3 linked regions of the Caenorhabditis elegans genome follow. The protein of the gene in region 1 purifies or fractionates together with the protein of each later gene. This does not show direct contact. Each region holds a gene or a part of one and is shown on either strand. Other genes may lie near its edges. The genes, in order: rep-1, madf-3 and herc-1.

The links.
Region 2: the proteins of rep-1 (region 1) and madf-3 fractionate together in Caenorhabditis elegans (co-fractionation; one large-scale study listed by BioGRID). This does not show direct contact.
Region 3: the proteins of rep-1 (region 1) and herc-1 fractionate together in Caenorhabditis elegans (co-fractionation; one large-scale study listed by BioGRID). This does not show direct contact.

The regions. Positions count from the first base shown.
Region 1 is NC_003281.10:1,568,426-1,576,317, forward strand, and holds the start of rep-1 (Rab proteins geranylgeranyltransferase component A 1), read left to right. Parts: upstream 1-1,880; 5' UTR 1,881-1,898; coding exon 1,899-2,014; intron 2,015-2,998; coding exon 2,999-3,068; intron 3,069-3,118; coding exon 3,119-3,349; intron 3,350-4,127; coding exon 4,128-4,279; intron 4,280-4,374; coding exon 4,375-4,582; intron 4,583-5,321; coding exon 5,322-5,500; intron 5,501-5,801; coding exon 5,802-5,961; intron 5,962-6,522; coding exon 6,523-6,619; intron 6,620-6,668; coding exon 6,669-6,746; intron 6,747-6,907; exon of another isoform or gene 6,908-6,980; intron 6,981-7,004; exon of another isoform or gene 7,005-7,077; intron 7,078-7,349; exon of another isoform or gene 7,350-7,425; intron 7,426-7,446; exon of another isoform or gene 7,447-7,519; intron 7,520-7,655; coding exon 7,656-7,783; intron 7,784-7,892. Other genes in the region: Y67D2.2 (Ubiquitin carboxyl-terminal hydrolase), read left to right, coding at 1,331-1,426. UniProt on the Caenorhabditis elegans protein: Substrate-binding subunit of the Rab geranylgeranyltransferase (GGTase) complex. Binds unprenylated Rab proteins and presents the substrate peptide to the catalytic component B and remains bound to it after the geranylgeranyl transfer reaction.
Region 2 is NC_003280.10:4,332,897-4,339,558, reverse strand, and holds madf-3 (Alcohol dehydrogenase transcription factor myb/sant-like protein), read right to left. Parts: upstream 4,812-6,662; 5' UTR 4,748-4,811; intron 3,884-4,747; 5' UTR 3,853-3,883; coding exon 3,289-3,852; intron 2,487-3,288; coding exon 2,408-2,486; intron 1,846-2,407; coding exon 1,749-1,845; intron 1,334-1,748; coding exon 1,135-1,333; 3' UTR 521-1,134; downstream 1-520. Other genes in the region: H20J04.4 (RNA helicase), read right to left, coding at 5,824-6,117.
Region 3 is NC_003279.8:1,209,792-1,214,500, forward strand, and holds the start of herc-1 (HECT domain-containing protein), read left to right. Parts: upstream 1-1,693; 5' UTR 1,694-1,703; coding exon 1,704-1,797; intron 1,798-2,782; coding exon 2,783-2,982; intron 2,983-3,995; coding exon 3,996-4,188; intron 4,189-4,709. Other genes in the region: nsun-2 (tRNA (cytosine(34)-C(5))-methyltransferase), read left to right, coding at 1,071-1,214.

The sequences.
Region 1 (7,892 bases):
TTGATTTTTCCTACAAAAATGATGTAACCAAGTGTAAACTATTTTTACACATATAAATCATTTGAGTTAAAAATTTGAATCTCAAGAAATATTCAAAAAACTAAAAAATTATCCGAAAAAATTGTATTTTCTACTATCATTTTAGTGTATCGAACTAAGTTGATATGTTTTGTATGTCGAAAAATAGTTTACACTTGGTTACATCATTTTTGTAGGAAAAATCTAGAATTTTCGACAAAAATTATTTTGAACATTTTTTGACGACCAACCAAAAAAATTTTTTTTTGGGCGGATTTTTTTCCAAACTTCTGTTGTTTTCTAATAATCTAAACAAAGCAAAATCCGCACACAAAGCTCAATTGAAAACTGAAAAGAAGCGAGATCAGAAAAATGCCTGAAAAAATTGGCTCCGCGTTAGGACACTTGGGGTGGTCAAAAACTTTCGTGACTATTGTCAAGTGAAAGATCATGGTTGATAACGTAAATTCCCAAAGTTTCATAAAAATCGATACGCAGCGAACAAAGTTATGATTTTTGACCCGGAACTTATTTGGAGACCTAATATATATATACCAGCCGTTCGAACGCGCTGAAGCGCGTGCTCCGACTGGCGTACTCAAAATTGAAATCAAATTCTAAAATTTCTAAGCCTTTCTCTGTAGATGGAACGTTTTTTTTCTGTTTTCCGGAAGTTTTCGAGCAACATAAATATTATATAGCTGAGTGTTTACAACTAAAAAAAAACGTTTTTCAAATCATATAAAACTTTTTTCCGGTCCTTTCCGAGAGTTTTTGGCGAGCGTTTCTGGAAATTATAACAATTTTGATCTTTTTTTTTCAAATTATTGAAACTTCAGAATATTCTAGGAGTATCAAAACTTGAAGAAGTTTTTTTTTTTGAACTTTCCGAAAGGTTCTAGAAATTTGCAGGTTCCTGAAATTTTCCACGAAATTGAACACTTCAGAATTTTCCCGATTTCTCTAGAAAGTTTTGGAACATTCCAGAATTTTCTCGAATTTATTTTTCTCAGAAAATTTGAATTTCCAGTCAACGAAGAGCCTTTGTCACAAAAACGACATATTATTAAAATTCACAGAATTTCCTAAATATTCCCTTCCTAAACATTTTCTCGTGACCCATGTGCTTCTACTCGTATTGGTGGCATAAAAACTGTATTTATTCACAGTTTCAGTCTTAAATTGGCCGAAAATGTGAATAAATACCGTATTTCTGCCAACAATTTGACAATAGAGCACATTTGTCACTCGGAGATGCGGAAGCTATGCCCAAATTTTCATTTTTCCCCCGAAAACTTGTATAATTTTTCAGGTAACCCGTGTACCGTACTCCCACGTGGCAGCCTGTCAAAGTTATATGCTATTCTACGAACGTGTCAAACCTCATCGACTCTACGAAAGGATGTAATTTCTGGATTTTTATTGATTTTTTTGAGAAAATTTTTTTTTTGGAAATTTCGCAATTTTTTTCCCAAACAATTGATTTATTTTGTTGCTAGATTCCCCTTATTTTTTGTTGTAAATTTTAACATTTTAATGACACAACGTGTAGCATTTCCTTTAAAGTTTATTTTTTGTGCAAAAATTCAGAAAATTTGAAAAAAATATTATAACTCTTCCCCCCGTCCCGTGCCATTTTTGTTAAGTTTTGTGTGTGTGTGTGAAAATGAAGATTTTTCGTGTTTTTTCCACTTTTTTTAGTTAATTTTTAAAGGTTTTCAGCCGTAAATCAAATATTTTAATAGAAAAAAAAATTTTTTTTGGAAAATTTTCAAAAAAATTTTTTTTTTTTTTGGTTTTTTTCAATTTTTCAAATTTAAGCATGACATCTCTTATTTTCCAAAAATTCAAACTATTTCCAGCTTTTCCAGCTCTAAAAAATGGACGAAAAGTTGCCAGAATCAGTGGACGTAGTGGTGCTGGGCACCGGACTACCTGAAGCCATTCTGGCTTCAGCTTGTGCTCGAGCTGGCTTATCTGTGCTTCATTTAGATAGGTAATAGGCGAACTAACATTTAAAAAAAGTTTAAAAAAATGAATGAATGAAATTGAAAAAAAAAAAATTTTTGCGAAAAAAAAATTATTTTCGGCTAAATTTTTTTTTTAATCATAACTTTTCCTCAAAAATACAGCAAAATTCGAATTCTCCACGTCGCCAGCTTCAATTTGATCCCCAAATTGCCTATATTCCGCTGGTTTTGAAGTTTTCGGGTCCCGCCACGAAAACTCCTCGGGTTACTGTAGTTTTTCGCGGCGGGACCCAAAATAAACGGATTCTGGGCATGATGGGGGTCATTTTGAAGCTGAGAACCTGATGAATTCAAATATCACATTAATTTTCGGGAAAAATCAGAAAGTAAAAATTTTCTGACCAAGTTTGTGGAAAATTTTTCGGAAAACGTCAAAAGTTTCCAATTTTCGAAAAATGTCAGCCAACTGATATCATATTCGAGTTCTCCACGTCACTAGCTTTAAAATAACCCCCCACCATGTCCATATTCCATTGATTTTGATTTTTTTGGGTCCCGTCACGGGTTACTGTAGCACCGATTTCAGCTGTGTCGATTGTCAAAATACACCGAACCTAGGCGTGTTGGGGCTCATTTGAAAGCTAATAACGTTGAGAAATCAGATTAATTGTTCGTTTTCGGAAATATCGAAAATTAAACAAATTTTAAGAAAAAAAAATATATATTTGCCAAAACATTTTTCAATTTTCAGAAATTTAAAAAATCAGAATTCTTTCTGAAATCTTCACGTTACCAGCTTTCAAATGACCCCCATCATGCCCATATTCCGCCTACTTTGAGAATTTTGGGTCCCGCCACGCGGGTTACTGTAGCACCGATTTCAGCTGTGTCGGTTGTCAAAATGCACGGAACCTAGGCGTGTTGGGGGTCATTTGAAAGCTGATAACGTCTGGAATTCGAATTTCATACTCGATTTCTTGAAAAATTCGAAATAAAAAATATTTTTGCAGAAATGAGTACTACGGCGGTGATTGGTCATCATTCACAATGTCGATGGTTCATGAAGTGACTGAAAATCAGGTTTTTATTGATTTTCAGCCAGAAAAACCCCAAAATTTCCGAATTTTCAGGTAAAAAAGCTGGATTCCTCGGAGATTTCCAAGTTATCAGAGCTTTTGACTGAAAATGAGCAGCTCATTGAGCTCGGCAATCGAGAAATCGTGGAAAACATTGAAATGACGTGGATTCCACGTGGAAAAGACGAGGAAAAGCCGATGAAAACGCAACTGGAAGAGGCTTCACAAATGCGGCGATTTTCCATCGATTTAGTGCCGAAAATTCTACTTTCCAAGGGAGCAATGGTACAAAATTGCAAAATTACACCTAAATTGGAGAACTTGATGTTTTGCCCTAATAGTCATCAAAAAATCAATTTTTGCCAAAAAAAAAATTTTTTTTGAAACTTTTTTTCTGAAAAAAAAGAAAAATTTTTCTAAAAATTCAATTTCCTCATTTAAAACTCTGAAATTCGAATTCTCTACGCCACCAGCTGTCTAATGACACCCAACATGCCCAGGTTCCGACCGCTTTGAAAATTTTGGGTCTCGCCACGCGGGTTACTGTAGCATCGATTTCAGCTGTGTCGAGACTGCCAAAATTCAAAATCAACGGACCACGGACATGTTGGGGGTCATTTGAAAGCTGATAAAGTGGAGAATTCGAATTATTTGCTAGTTTTCTGAAATATCGAAAATTTAAAAAAATTGAAAAATATTTTCCAAAAAATTGTCAATTTTCAGAATATTCAAAAATTAACATTTTTTCCGAGATCTTCACATCACCAGCTTCAAAATGACCCCCATCATGCCCTGGTTCCATGCAATTTGATTTTTTTGGGTCTCGCCACGCGGGTTACTGTAGCACCGGCTTCAGCTGTGTCAAAACTTCCAAAAGTCAAAATCAACGGAGCCGGGGCATGTTGGGGGTCATTCGAAAGCTGAGAGCGTCGAAAAATTCGAATTTCCGCATTATTTTCAGATATTGAAAAGTTTGACAAAAATTTATGGGAAAATTTTGAAAATCTTGAAAAAAATTTGGAAAAAAAAAACGATTTTCTTCCAATTTTTTGAATTTTTTCAGGTTCAAACACTCTGTGACTCCCAAGTATCCCATTATGCCGAGTTTAAGCTTGTCAACCGGCAGCTATGCCCAACAGAGACCCCAGAAGCCGGAATTACCCTAAATCCGGTGCCATGTAGCAAAGGAGAGATTTTTCAGAGCAATGCTTTGTCGTAAGGGATTTTTTTAGGCTGAAAATCGATAAAATATCGATTTTCTTTGCCAAAAAAATCGATTCGCAATGATAAATCTCCAAAAATTCTTCCAGAATCCTGGAAAAGCGAGCTCTTATGAAATTCATCACATTCTGCACACAATGGAGCACAAAAGACACGGAAGAAGGCAGAAAACTGCTCGCCGAGCACGCCGACCGCCCGTTTTCAGAGTTTTTGGAGCAAATGGGCGTTGGAAAGACCCTGCAGAGCTTTATTATTAATACGATCGGCATTTTACAGCAAAGACCCACTGCGATGACGGTGAATATGCGGAAATTACTGTTTTTTAGAAAAAAATCTGAATTTCTAAAAAAATTGAAAATGAAAAAAAAATCCAAAATTTTTTTTTTTGCACGAAATTTACTTCAATTTTTTTCAAAATATTATTGAAAAATTTGAATTCTCGCCACTCTCAGCTTCAAAATGACCCCCAACATGCCCGGGGTCCGTTGATTTTGAGTTTTGGCAGTCTCGACACAGCTGAAACCGGTGCTACAGTACCCCGCGTGGCGAGACCCGAATTTTCAAAATCATCGGAACCCGGGCAGTATGGGGGTCTTTAGAAAGATGATGATGTGGAGGATTCGAGTTTTGAGTCGATTTGAAAAGAAATTTATAATTGAAAAAAATTTGAGCAAAAAATTATTTTTTTTTTCGAAAAAATGTTGATTTTGTCTATTTTGCTAAAAATTTTTGAAAAATTCAAATCTCTAACGCTTTCAGCTTTACAATGACCCCCATCATGCCCATTTTCCGTGCAGTTTGCGCTCCGACACAGCTGAAACCGGTGCTACAGTACCCCTCGTGGCGGGACCCAAAATTTTCAAAATCGATGGATCATGGGCATGATGGGTGTCATTTGGAAGCTGGTGATGTGGAGAATTCGAATTTCGAGTTGATTTTCATGTCAAATTTGAAATTGAAAAAAATTTTGAGAAAAACAAATTTTCAAAAAAAAAAAAAAATTTTTTTCAAAATTTAAAATTTTTCCAAATTCCAGGGAATGTTGGCATCATGCCAGTTCATGGATTCTGTCGGCCATTTCGGTCCATCGCCATTCCTCTTCCCACTCTACGGATGTGGAGAGCTCTCACAGTGCTTTTGCCGGCTGGCAGCAGTCTTTGGGAGCTTATATTGTCTGGGACGGCCTGTACAGGCTATCGTGAAAAAAGATGGAAAGTTAGTGAAGAGAATAAGCGAAAAATCAATAGTTTCTGCGAAATTTGACCTAATTTTCAAGTCAAATTCCCAGCAAAACTAGTTTTATACAATATTCCGTGACTCATGTGTTTCTACCCAGATTGATGGCATAAAAACTGTTTTTATTCACATTTTCAGCCTTAAATTGTGCTGAAAATGTGAATAAATACCGTATTTCTGCCAACAATTTGACAATAGAGCACATTTGTCACTCGGAGATGCGGAAGCTATGCCCAAATTTTCAATTTGTCGGAAAACCAATTTTCTCAAAAATTTCCAGAATTACGGCTGTAATTGCCAATGGAGATCGTGTAAATTGTCGCTACATCGTGATGTCCCCGAGATTTGTCCCCGAAACTGTTCCAGCTAGTAGTACGCTGAAAATCGAGAGAATCGTCTATGCGACGGATAAATCGATTAAAGAAGCCGAGAAAGAACAGGTTCCGGAGCATTTTTTGGAGTTTTCCACCAGGAAATTCGATTTTCCCGCAAAATTCCACTCTAGAATTCAATTTCCCCGGGCTTCTAGCTCAATGTTACAATTTTTGGGGTTACTGTAGCGCCAAAAGTACGTTGACCTCGGTGCTTGCGTACCTGAGACCGAATTTTACGAAATTGAGCTTAAATTGGCTGAAAATCATGTTCCGGGGTGAATTGGCAACGGGAAATTCGAATTTCGCATTGAAAACCACCTTGGTCAACTGGTTTTCGAGAAAAATTTAATTTTACTCGAGAAACCAGTGCTCCTAGTTGATTTTCAATGCAAAATTCGAATTCCCCGTTGCCAATTTACCCCGTAACTGAAATTTAAGCCAATTTGGGTTCAATTTCGTAAAATTCGGTGTCAGGTACGCAAACACCACGGGGGCATCGCGTACTTTTGGCGCTACAGTAACCCCGAAAATTTCAAAATTGAGCTAGAAGCCTGGGAAAAAATAATTCTAGAGTGAAATTTTGCGGGGATTTCGAATTTCGTATTAAAAATCCGAAAAAATTTTCAGCTAACCCTCCTCAATCTGGCATCTCTCCGGCCCGACGCCGCAGTCTCACGGCTTGTTGAAGTGGGCTTTGAAGCCTGTACGGCTCCGAAAGGACACTGTAAGCCCCCACGTTTTTTCCTAGAAAAATAAAGATTTTTTTTTTGCAGTTCTGGTGCATGCAACGGGTACCCAAGAAGGAGAAACAAGTGTCAAGACTATTGCAGAGAAGATTTTTGAAAAAAATGGTGATTTTCGCGGAATTTTTAGGGGGAAATTTTGAATTTCCACTACCGAAAACCTATTTTTCGCTTAAAATTTGAGAAACTTTCATGGAAAAGTCATTTCCAAGTGAATTTTCCCTAATTTTAGGTGAAAAATTCGAATTCTCCGCTATAAAAAACCTATATATCCCCACGGGGAATCGAACCCTGGACCTTTTGCTCCAAAGGCGAGCCGCTTAGCCACTGCGCCACGCGTTGCAGCTAACCAGTGATGCATGTTGCACCCCGTGGCGCAGTGGCTAACAGGCTTGACTTCGGAGCAAATGGTCCCGGGGTTCGAGTCCCCGCAGTGGTGTATAGGTTTTTCATAGCGAACATTTCGAATTTTTAACTTAAAATTCGCAAAAATTGAGTTACAACCTAGTTTCCTGAAATTTTCGCTCGAAAATGATACAAAATCCATTTTTTTGAACTATTAATATATGTTAAGCTTCAAAGTTCTAAAATAGAGACTCCAAGAGTTGAAATCTCAGCAAGGATTCAGTGAAATTTTGAGAAAAATTATTTCCAAGTGAATTTTCCCCAATTTTAAGTGAAAAATTCGAATTCTCCGCTATAAAAAACCTATACACCCCCACGGAGAATCGAACCCCGGACCTTTTGCTCCAAAGGCGAGCCGCTTAGCCACTGCGCCACGCGTTGCATCACGCGCCGCTGGTTCGGCGCACCGGTGGCGCAGTGGCTAACAGGCTTGACTTCGGAGCAAAAGGTCCGGGGTTCGAGTCCCCGTGGGAGTATTTAGGTTTTTCAGGGCGGAGATTTCGAATTTTTCACTTAAAATTCGCGAAAATTGGCTTGGAACCCGGTTTTTCTTTAATATTTTTGAGTTTTTCGATTTTTCCTAGAAAAATCGATATTTTTTCTGCATTTCAGAAGTGGAACCCTACTGGAAGATGAGCTTCACCGCGAATTCCATGAAATTCGACACCGCCGGAGCCGAAAATGTCGTCGTCGCGCCGCCAGTTGATGCGAATTTACACTATGCTAGTGTGGTGGAGGAGGTTAGGGCGAAAGAACGATGAAAATTGGATTTTTGAGCTGAAATTGAATTAGAAATTCAAATTAGAAAAAAAAATTTCGAAAAAATATAAAAATTAAAAAAAAAAAATT
Region 2 (6,662 bases), on another chromosome or scaffold:
AGAAAGTTTTGAGGTTTCCAAAATTCAACTTTTTTGGTGAAAAAGTCGAGATTTTCGCACAAAAAAATTGAATTTTGAAAACCTCAAAACTTTTTCAGCGGTCTCGTTATGAAAATCAGGTAATTTCAGCATCTAAGCATCATATGTATCATGTTTCAGAAAAAGTTTAGGTTTTGTATTCCCGTAATCCATCATATTACATTGACCACTTTCACCGCTGCTTGCCCACTGAATGCATGATTTTTTCACTTGGAAATTGGAAATTGTTTTAGCATCTGCAAAAAATATTTATTTATCAGTTTTATTAAGAAAAAACGAAAAAAATCGATGAAAAACGAAAGAAAACAGGCGGAAAACAAAGCAAGATAAATGGCCGCTGAAACTTGTCGGCCCCTCGGCCATGGCCTAGAAACCACTTTTCCTCGTCCCTCGCGAGGAAAAAGTTGCAGTGTAACTTTCAGACTTCGCGGTGAGACCCATCCGCAAAAAATTTTTCAAAATTTTTCAAAAAACACAGATAAAAAGTAGGTTTTGAACACCTTAAAAGAGGTAAATTTACAACAAAAAATCCAAATTTTCTAGGATAAAAATCAATTATTCATGAAATAAAAGGACCTGAGATAGGAAAGACGGCGATGGAAATTAAGAAACTGCCCACAAAAATTACAAAAAAAAATACAGATACAGAAATATTGTACAAATATGAAAATATGATGAGACCAGTTGATGGGATAAAGATCAAAAAAATTGGAAATAAATGCGCCAAGACTACAGTACCTGGGGTCTCGAAGCGACAATTTTTGTTAAGTGCGTGTGTAAAGGTGTGCGCCTTTAAAGAGTACTGTAACTTCAAAAATTCGTGAATTTTCATCAATTTTTCATAGTTTTTCGATAAAAAAGACAATAAATTTTCACAAATTGTGAGAAAAACTCGACAAAAATTCACAGTTAAACACAGTACTCTTTAAAGGCGCACACTTTTTTCAATTTTCAACTTATCAAAAAAAAAGTTTTCAACTTATCAATTTGGGTCGTGGCGAGACCCGGCTTGGGGTAAAATCGAAGAAATTTCGAGGTTGGGTAATAAAAAGTGGACAAAAAATTGAAAATTTCGGCTAGAAAATTCAATAAAAATCACAAATAATTAGGAGCAGGTGTAGACGGAGGTTTAGCGGATTCCAAAAGTATCATAATCTGCTGCTTTGCAATTATTCGTGCTTCTTCTCCAAGTGTCCTTAGATCCGATACAATTGATGCAGAGAATGCAGAATCTCCGTCGAGAAGTACATCACCGTTGTTTGGTCGCTTTTCAGCCATCATCACGTAGTTTATGCTGGAAATTTCAGGGGTTTATTGATTTTTTTTTTGGCAAAATAAAATTATTATTTTGGAATTATCTGTGATTACTTGTCGGAAAAAATTGCACCAAATCATCAAGTTTTCGCAAATTCCAAATTTTTAAAATTTCATTTTTCTAAATCTTTGAATTTTTTTTTTTGAAAATTTTTCAATTTTTCTAGAGAATCTAATAGAAATCACCGAAAATTGTCTTAAAACCGCCACTATTTGCTTCCGACCAATCAGCGCCCGACTCCGCGCAATTCCGAACCAATCAGCGGCACAGGTCGTCGCTGATTGGTTCAAAAAAGAGAAGGGGCCGAGCGCTGATTGGTTAGAAGTTGATCAATTTTAGAGTCAAATTTCCTCTTTTTTTTTCATCAACTTTTTGCTCATTTTAGCTCACTCACTCATCATCGTAATCTCCATAATCTGACATTTCATCCTGATTTCCTCCGTCATTGTTTCCCCCTCGTTTCAGACTTCGAGCACATCGAGATAGTTGCTCTGCAAAATTTTAGTTTTTTTTAAAGTATTTATTCCGGCGATTTTAGGAGCCACGTAAAATAATACATGGAACTGCGTAATTCGTAATTTCACATATGGCGGTGCGAAATTTTTTACATGTCAAAACAAGAGTTCTAAAACTAAACTCTTTTTTCGTATTTATATTGAGGAAAAAAAACGATTTTAAAGCTGGAGGAGTAGGAGTAAATGAGGGATTTTACTTCAAAATGCGCAAACTGATCCTGAATCTCTCTGCATCCACACTATTGTCCGTAGATCTGCATCCGCACTATTGTCTTCACTTGCGAGGAAAAAACGGGAAAAACTAGAATTAACGTCGCGCAGATACAGATCTACGGAGTGCGGCGCTGAAAAAGGCGCGGCAATTTAAATGATTAGGAGATTAGTCAGAATTGAAAATTAACCAAAATCAACCGATTTTTTTTCAAACTTAATGATTTTTGATTTTTTTTTTCGGGGGCCTTTTATGGTATTTCGGCATTCAGGATCAGTTTGATTTAAAGGTTTTTTGTTTTAATTTTCCAGGAAAAAAAGCTCGTACGTTCATCCAAATGCTGATCTATCCAAGCCATATCATCATACATCTCCCAAGTTGACACATCTTGAACATTCGGATCACCCTGAAGTTGCTAAGAAAAATTTGTAAAATTTCTGTTTAAAACAAAAATAGAGGCTCCACGAAAACGGGATACTGTTGAGAAAGGGGATTCTGGCACTGTGCCAATTTTTTCTCAAAGAAAAATTGAGTTTTGTGCGTTGGCAGTGCCAGGCAGGGAGGGGCAAACGATTTTTTCCGGCAATTCCGGCAAATTTCCAACTTGCCGAATTTGTCGAAAATCGAAATTTCCGGCAAACCGGCAAATCAGCAAATTGCCCGAAATTAAAACTTCCGGCAAATCGCCAAATAGGCAATATCCCGAAAATAAAAATATTCCGGCAAATCGCCAAATTGCCTAAAATTAGAATTTCCGGCAAATCGCCAAACCGGAAATTTGCCGAATATCAAAATTTCCGGCAAATCGCCAAATTTGCCGTTTATCAAAATTTCCGGCAAATCGCCAAATTTGCCGTTTATCAAAATTTCCGGCAAATCGCCAAATCGGCAACTTGCCAAAAATCAAAATTTCCGGCAAATAGGCAATTTTCCAAAAATCAAAATTTCGGGCAAATCGCCAAATTGCCTAAAATTAAAAATTCCGGCATATCGGCAAAATGCCCAAAATGAAAACTTCCGGCAAATAGGCAATTTGCCAAAAATCAAAATTTCCGGAAAACCGGCAAATTGCCTAAAATTAGAATTTCCGGCAAATCGTCACTTTGCCGGGAATCAAAATTTCCGGCAAATAGGTAAACCGGCAACTGCCGCCTGCCAGATCCCATTTTCCATAAGTTCTCCTTTTCATGAGGCCTCCAAATGCCTACCAAATTCCTCAGCCTCCTCTTCTCCCTAACATATCGATCTCGATGCTTCTTCCATTGTTTATAAATCGACGGAACTGTTCCAGGATATCGTAGTTTATCAATAATCATTCCCCATGCTTGAGTACGACAGTCTCCATGACGATATTTTGGATCACGAACATCATAAAGACACGGATGCCTTCTCACTTCAAGAATTAGATTTTTTCCAAAACATGGCTCAGCAATCTTTTCATGAACTCCAGTTGGCTCTTTTCGAGATGGTGATATTTCTGCTCGATCTGTCATATGTGGATCTAGAAAATGAAGATGTTTGAAATATTGCCATGATGATTTCTCATTTCCATATTTTTGTTTTCTCTTCTCTTTTCCATATTTATCTCTTAATTGCTTCCATCTCGCAGATAACATTCTCGGATCACCATCAAAACCGAGTACAGTAACCAGACGCTGCCAAACTCGATTTTTGTATTCTGTATTACGGTATTGTCGGTCTGTATTGTCGAAAAGGCATCGACTATGACGGACGGCTTCGATGAGACGTAGGTTGAATGTCGGTTCGATCATTTCCTCGCCGAAGCGGGTCGCTGTGTAGTTCCTGCAAAAAAAGGTTATTTATGATTTTTTTTAGAAAAATCAGATAATTTTCTGATTTTTTTAAGCGAACTTTTTTTTCGGAAAAATGCTTTTTGGGATTTTTTTGAGTGAATTTTTGATTTTTCTAATTTGAAAAAAAAAACTGATAACATCAAACTTTATCCAAAAATATGTTCTTAAAGGAAAACGCGATTTTTTGAATTTTTATCGAATATATAATTTTAAAAAATAGTTTTTCTGTCGGAAATTAATTTTTTTTTAAATTTTTTACAAAAAAAGCGCAGTTTTTTTTAAAAAGAAAATCGAGTATTTTTTCTCAAGAAAAAACACCTTAAGATTTTTAAAGATTTTTATCGAAAAAAAATGTGTTTTTAATGGAAGATCAAGTTTTTTTTTAATTCAATTTTTTTTGATAGAATATATAATTAAAAAATGGACTTGTTTCGAAAATTAACTTTTTTAAATTTTCGTATTAAAAAAATTGCAATTTTTTCGAAAAATCTGGTATTTTTCGAAGGTTTTTAGAAACATCTTTTTTTTAAAGTAAAAAACGTTTTTTTTTTTCGAAAAAAAGTGTTTGCAAAAACTGATTTTTTACCTTTTTAAAATAAAAAATTGTTTGTTGAAAAAAAAAAATTTTGACAACAAAAGTTTTTTTTTAATTTTTTTATTTAGTAGATTAAATTATTTTTAGCACTTCGTAAGTACTTACAATTAGAAAAATTTTCTTTTTTCATATATAAAAAATTGTTGATTTTTCGCCAATTTATCGGAAAATAAATTGGATCTTTTTTGAGAAAAATCTGATTTTTTTTTTCAAAAATTCGATTTTTCTAAATTTATCCAAATATCATTTTAAACTCACATATCGTATTGTTCTTCGTGATATAAATGCTGATAGTTGTGCTCACTGGAGATCATGATTAGCTGAAAGTGTTAGAGCAATCGCTTTTTGAGACGGCTTTTAGAGATATTATGAGGAAGGTTTTAAGGAAACCATTATGGGGAATAAAAAGAAAATAGATGTGATAGAAAATATTGATTTTTTTTCAAAAGAAATCAACAACAAAAAAACAAAACAAAACAAAAAAAGTAACAATTTAAATCTAAAACAACAGAAATCGCAAGCTCGTGTACTCCACGAGGAGAAGTAAAGTACTAGAATTTTGAATTTAACACTAAAAAAAAATGATTTTTTGCTTTAAATCCCAGAAAAAAAATGAGATTTTCAATTTTTGGTGATTTTTGGCAACTTAAAAATTTTAATTTTAAATTAAAAATTTGCATTTTGTTAACAGTTGCTGTTCGGCAAATTTCTTTGTCGACAAAATCGGCAAATCGGCGAATTGTCGACCTGCCGATTTACCGAACATAAATTTGCAGGAATTTTTTGGAAGAATTTTTACGAGACGGAAAAACTTGAAACTGTGCTTTTTTGAAATTTTTTTGTCGGTTTTCTAGATATTTTCATAGAATTTGCCAATTTTCAAATTAGATGTAGGAATAGTCATAGGATGCGTACAGTTTTGCCGATTAAAATTTAAATTCTGAAATATCAAAAAAAAAAAAGGTAAAAAATCGCAATTTGCCGAAAATCTATGGCAATTTCCGTTTTTTCGGCAAGTTGCAGGTTTGCCGATTTACCGCAAATTTTCAATTCCGGCAAATTTGCCGATTTGCCGGAAAAAAATCGTTTGCCGCAAACACAACTTTAAATGCCAAAAATATACCGTAATTTTAATTTGAAAAAGTGGAGATTTGCAATTTTTGGTAATTTTTGGCCACTTTTAATTGTTTTAATTGTTCAAAAATTTGCATTTTGTTAACAGTTTTCTGTAATTTTGAGCAAAAACTGTAAAAATTTTGCACTTCTCCACGAGGAGTACACGAGCCGCGTAAATCGACACAAGCTGAACAAAAATTACAATATTTAAAATGAATTCAATTTTCTTCCTTTTTCACTTTTTTCGCCGCCAATTTCTTCTGAAATCGATCTCTTTTATCCAATTGTCCACTAATTTTCTCCAGCTTTCTCTTGGAATTTGTCATTCTTCGAGTCCTCATTTCCTCCAAATGCCTATCAGCTTCATCTTCATCCATTCCACTCATCAGAAGCTCTTTTCTTCGATTAATCTCCTTTTTCTCTCCGAATTTCTGATTTTCCAGCTTCAACTCGGCTTCTTTCTTCGCCACAAGCACTTGGGTGACGTATTTGGTGACATGTTTTGGGCTGACCTGAAAAAAATGCGAAAATTAAGGGAATTTATTGATTAAAAAGTAGATTTTTTGTGTAGAGAAATGAAAAGAGACGGGGGAAAAAATGATGAAAAAAAAATTATTTGCGTCAATATAGAGAGAAACGCAGTCAACTAGAGAGTGAAAAATGAGAGGAAAATATTTTTTTTTGGCGTCATTGAAAGTGGAAGGAGTTTGGAAATTCAATATTTTGGCGGGAAATTCAAATTTTTTGAAAAAAAATGTTTCTTCCGCCTTTTTCGTGTTTTTAGCAGAAAAACTCGCTTTTTTCGAAAAAAAAATTAAAAATTTTCCTTTTTTATCCAAAATATGGCACTGGAAAATTACAAAAGAAGTGCAATTTTTGTTTTTTTTTCGCTTTTTTTCTAGATTTTCCGAAAAAAAAATATAGCTTCAAATTTAGGCAATTTTTCCCTATTTTTTGCCGAAAATTATATGTTTCTCATGTTTTTTGAAATCAAATTTTAGAAAAAAAATTCAATTTTTTAAAGATTTAAAGATTTTTCTTTAAAATATTTTTTCAG
Region 3 (4,709 bases), on another chromosome or scaffold:
CAAATCGGCAAGTTGCCAGAAATTAAAATTTCCGGCAAACCGAAAAATTGCCAGAAATTAAAATTTCCGGCAAATCAGCAAATTGCCAGATAGTAGAATTTCCGGCAAATCAGCAAACCGGCAAATTGCCAGAAATTAGAATTTCCGGCAAATCGGCAAGCCGGCAAATTGCCAGAAATTAGAATTTCCGGCAAATCAGCAAACCGGCAAATTGCCAGAAATTAGAATTTCCGGCAAATCAGCAAACCGGCAAATTGCCAGAAATTAGAATTTTCGGCAAATCGGCAAGCCGGCAAATTGCCAGAAATTAGAATTTTCGGCAAATCAACAAACTGACAAATTGCCAGAAATTAAAATCTCCGGCAAATCAGCAAATTGCCAGAAATTAGAATTTTCGGCAAATCAGCAAACCGGCAAATTGCCAGAAATTAGAATTTCCGGCAAATCAGCAAACTGACAAATTGCCAGAAATTAAAATCTCCGGCAAATCGGCAAATTGCCAGAAATTAGAATTTTCGGCAAATCAGCAAACCGGCAAATTGCCAGAAATTAGAATTTTCGGCAAATCGGCAAGCCGGCAAATTTCCAGAAATTAGAATTTTCGGCAAATCGGCAAGCCGGCAAATTTCCAGAAATTAGAATTTTCGGCAAATCAACAAACTGACAAATTGCCAGAAATTAAAATCTCCGGCAAATTGGCAAATTGCCAGAAATTAAAATTTCCGGCAAATCGGCAAACCGCCAGATTGCCAGAAATCAAATTTTCTGCAAATTGCCAGAATTTTAATTTTCCGGCAAATCGGCAAATTGCGAGAAATTAGAATTTCCGGCAAATCAGCAAACTGGCAAATTGCCAGAAATTAGAATTTTCGGCAAATCAGCAAACCGGCGAATTGCCAGAAATTAGAATTTCCGGAAAATTGTTATTTTTAGAAAAATAGGATAATTTGAAAATTGAAGAAAAAAAACTAATAAAAAAGTTTAACTAAATTTTTTTGGAAGTTTTCACAAATTGTTAGTAATTTCATGAGAAATAAGTTAAATTTTTGTCCAAAAAATCAATTTTTCAGGCCGCCCAAGACCGTGAAGCCGCGTGGGCTCGCAAGGAAGAAGCCGCAAAGGCTGCGGAGCCGTCCAGCAGCTCAACTGATGCTCCAGAATCTGCTGAAACTCTGGAAATTCCAGAAGAAAATGTTCAAGAAATGACTGAATAATTTGTTTTTTTTTTGTTATCTCTTTTTTCTCCTTTAATTTATCTCCATTTATCCCCTACACAGTTATAAATTCTGCTACGTGGCCGTGTGGAAAAAACTCGGCCACCGATTTTTTTTTGTTCCCTCACGTGGTGCCAAAGTGTTTCATTTCTGTTTGATCTACAAAAAATGCGGGAATTTTTCCCCAAAAAACTGTGACGTCAGCACGTTTTTAATCGTGCAAAATCAGTTGAGAACTCTGCGTCTCAACTCCCGCATTTTTTGTAGATCTAGGTAGATCAAACCGAAATGAGACATTCTGTCACAACGTGTTCCCTTTATTGTTGTTGCAGTTGTTATTTGATTTTTTTTTTTGAAAAAATTTGAATTTTTTTTTCAGATTTTTTCCTCTGATACTGCTTCAAAAACTAAAGTTGTTGAGATCACACTATGATATTTTCTAGATTGTTTTTTTAAAATTTAATTGTTAAAAAAATCAGATTTCAGAAAATGCGAGCTGAGCTGCTCGGATGTGGACACACGGGCGAGGGACAGCTCGGCGTTCGGCTCTCCGAGTCGACGATTCAAGTTCCCGAGAGAATTAGTACGGAGCTATTTTTGTTGCAGAAATTAGAAAACAGAAAAAAAAATTAATTCCGAAATTAAATTTTAAAAATTAAAAAATTTCGGATGAAAAAAAAACAATTGGAAGATTTTTGTAAATCTTTCACAAAACTTTAAAAAAAACTTTTTTAAAGAAATAATGGCAAACCGACATTTTGCCGGAAATGGAAGATTCCGGCAAACCGGCAAAAAGCCAGAAATTAAAATTTTCTGCATATCGACAATTTGCCTAAAATGAAAATTTCCGGCAAATCGGCAATATGCCTAAAATGAAAATTTCCGGCAAATCGGCAATTTGCCTAAAATGAAAGGTTCCGGAAATCGGCAATTTTCCTAAAATGAAAGGTTCCGGCAAATCGGCAATTTTCCTAAAATGAAAGATTCCGGCAAATCGGCAAGTTGTCAAAAATGATAGATTCCGGCAAATCGGCAAAAAGCCAGAAATTAAAATTTTCTGCAAATCCACAATTTGCCTAAAATTAAAATTTCCGGAAATCGGCAATTTGCCGAAAATGAGAGATTCCGGCAAATCGGCAATTTGTCAAAAATGATAGATTCCGGCAAATCGGCAAAAAGCCAGAAATTAAAATTTCCGGCAAATCGGCAATTTGCCGAAAATGATAGATTCCGGCAAACCGGCAAAAAGCCAGAACTTAAAATTTCCGGAAATCGGCAATTTGCCGAAAATGAGAGATTCCGGCAAATCGGCAATTTTTCAAAAATGATAGATTCCGGCAAATCGGCAAAAAGCCAGAAATTAAAATTTCCGGCAAATCGGCAATTTGCCTAAAATGAAAATTTCCAGCAAATCGGCAATTTGCCTAACGAAAAAAAATTGATTACTTTGGAGCAAAATTGTATGCATCTTTAAAAAACTCTTTTTTTTTGAATATTTGTTTAAAAACTGTGTGAAAATAGTTTAAAATCGTCTCGGAATTTTCTCTGAAAATTGTTCAAAATTTCAGTTGGCGCTCCAAATGATATGGATGGAACCGCAGTGACGTCAGTCACGTGTGGTGAACAACATACAGTATTCCTGACAAAAGATGGCAAAATGTGGAGTGTTGGTAGTAATATGGATGGACAATTGGGACGAGGCAGTCGGACTGAGGGTTCTTTTTCGATTTATCCGGTTTCTTGGACAAGCAGTGCGAAAATTATTCAGGTAACTTTGAGTTTTTTTTTTGGCGAAAATCCATTAGAAAATGATTTTACCATATTTTTTCGCTAAATAACATTTGAAAAATAAAAAATTTTTCGTTTTTCCCTAGTTTTTGGCGAGAAAATCCCGTAGATCTCATTTTTGTAAACTCTTTTTCCGTGGAATCCCCTTTTCTTAGATTTCCATCTCGCAGATCCTCTTCCCATAGTTCCCATTTGCGTAAATTCTCTTCTCGTAGATCCCCGTTTCGTAGATCTCCGTCTTGTTGATCCCCTTCTCGTAGAATAGCAAATTTCTAGATCCTCTTCTCCCAGATACTCTTTTGGTAGATTCACTTCTCGTAAATCTCCTTCTCATAGAATTAATTTTGGTTCCCGTTTCGTAGATCTCTGTTTCGTGCAAGCTCCCTTCTCGAAGATTCCTTTGCCGTAGATCTTCTTTTCGTAGATCACCCTTCTCGCAGCTCTCTTTTTTGTAAATTCTCTTTTCATAGATCTGCCTTCCATAGACTTCCCTTCTCGGAGATCTCCTTTACGCAGAACGACGTTTTGTAGATCCTTTTCCATAGATTCTCCTCTCGTAGAATGGCTAATTCCTAGATCCTCTTCTCCCAGATCCCTTTTTTTGTAGATTCTCTTCTCGTAGATCTCCGTTTCGTAGATGCTCTTTTTTGTACATATATTTTCCATAGATCCCTTTTTGCCTTTAATGTAGATTTTTTCCATAATTACCCTCTCCGTAGATCTCCTTCTCGTAGATCCCATTTCCGTAGAATTCCCCCTTTCGTAGATCCCATTTTCAAAGATAGCCTTTCCGTATAATCTCCCTTTCGTAGATTCGATTTTCGAAAATAATAATCTCGCAGATCCCCTTCTCATAGATCCCCATCTGGTTGATCACCTTCTCGTAGATGCTTTTTTCATAAATTCCCTTACTTCAGATCCATTTTCCGTGGATCTCCTTTTCGCAGAGCCAATTTCCATAGATCGCCTTCTCGTAGAAATTCCATTTTTCAGATCTCTGCTGGCCGTTCTCACACAGTCTCCGTAACCGACGATGGGCGTGTCTTCGCTTGGGGCTCCAATGAGCACGGACAACTCGGAATGGAGAGTAAATTCACGTGGCAGGGAACACCACGACGTGTTCAAGAGATTAATGATATTGTACAAGTGGCGTCTGGATCCAATCATTGTATTGCGTTGGATGAAGGTAGAAATTTGGAAATTTGTGAAAAAATTCAAATTTTTGCTGGAAAAGTCCAAAAAGTATCTCAAAAACCTGAAAAATTGAAAAATTTAGTAAGGGGATATGGTCGGGGTACTGTAGTAGTACTGTAGGGGTACTGTAGGAGTACGGTAGGATTACTGTAGTTTAGGGAAATTTGACTTTTTCTCTTTTGAATGGATATTGGTTTGGGGTTAGTGGGGGGGATATGGTCGGGGTACTGTAGTAGTACTGTAGGGGTACTGTAGGAGTACTGTAGTAGTACTGTAGGATTACTGTAGTTTAGGAAAAATAAACTTTTCGTCTTTTGAAGGAATATTTGTTTTCGAATAATTTGCAAAAACGGAAAGCTGGATTTTTTTGAAAATAAAAAATAAAAATGTAATCCCGCTTCAACGCCAAAAGAAAAGTTGGGTCTCGTTAGGAATTGGCGGCGAAATTTTTTGCTAATTTTTGCTAATTTTGAAGCATTTTTTGTTGCTTTTAATAATTTTTGTACCAACGAC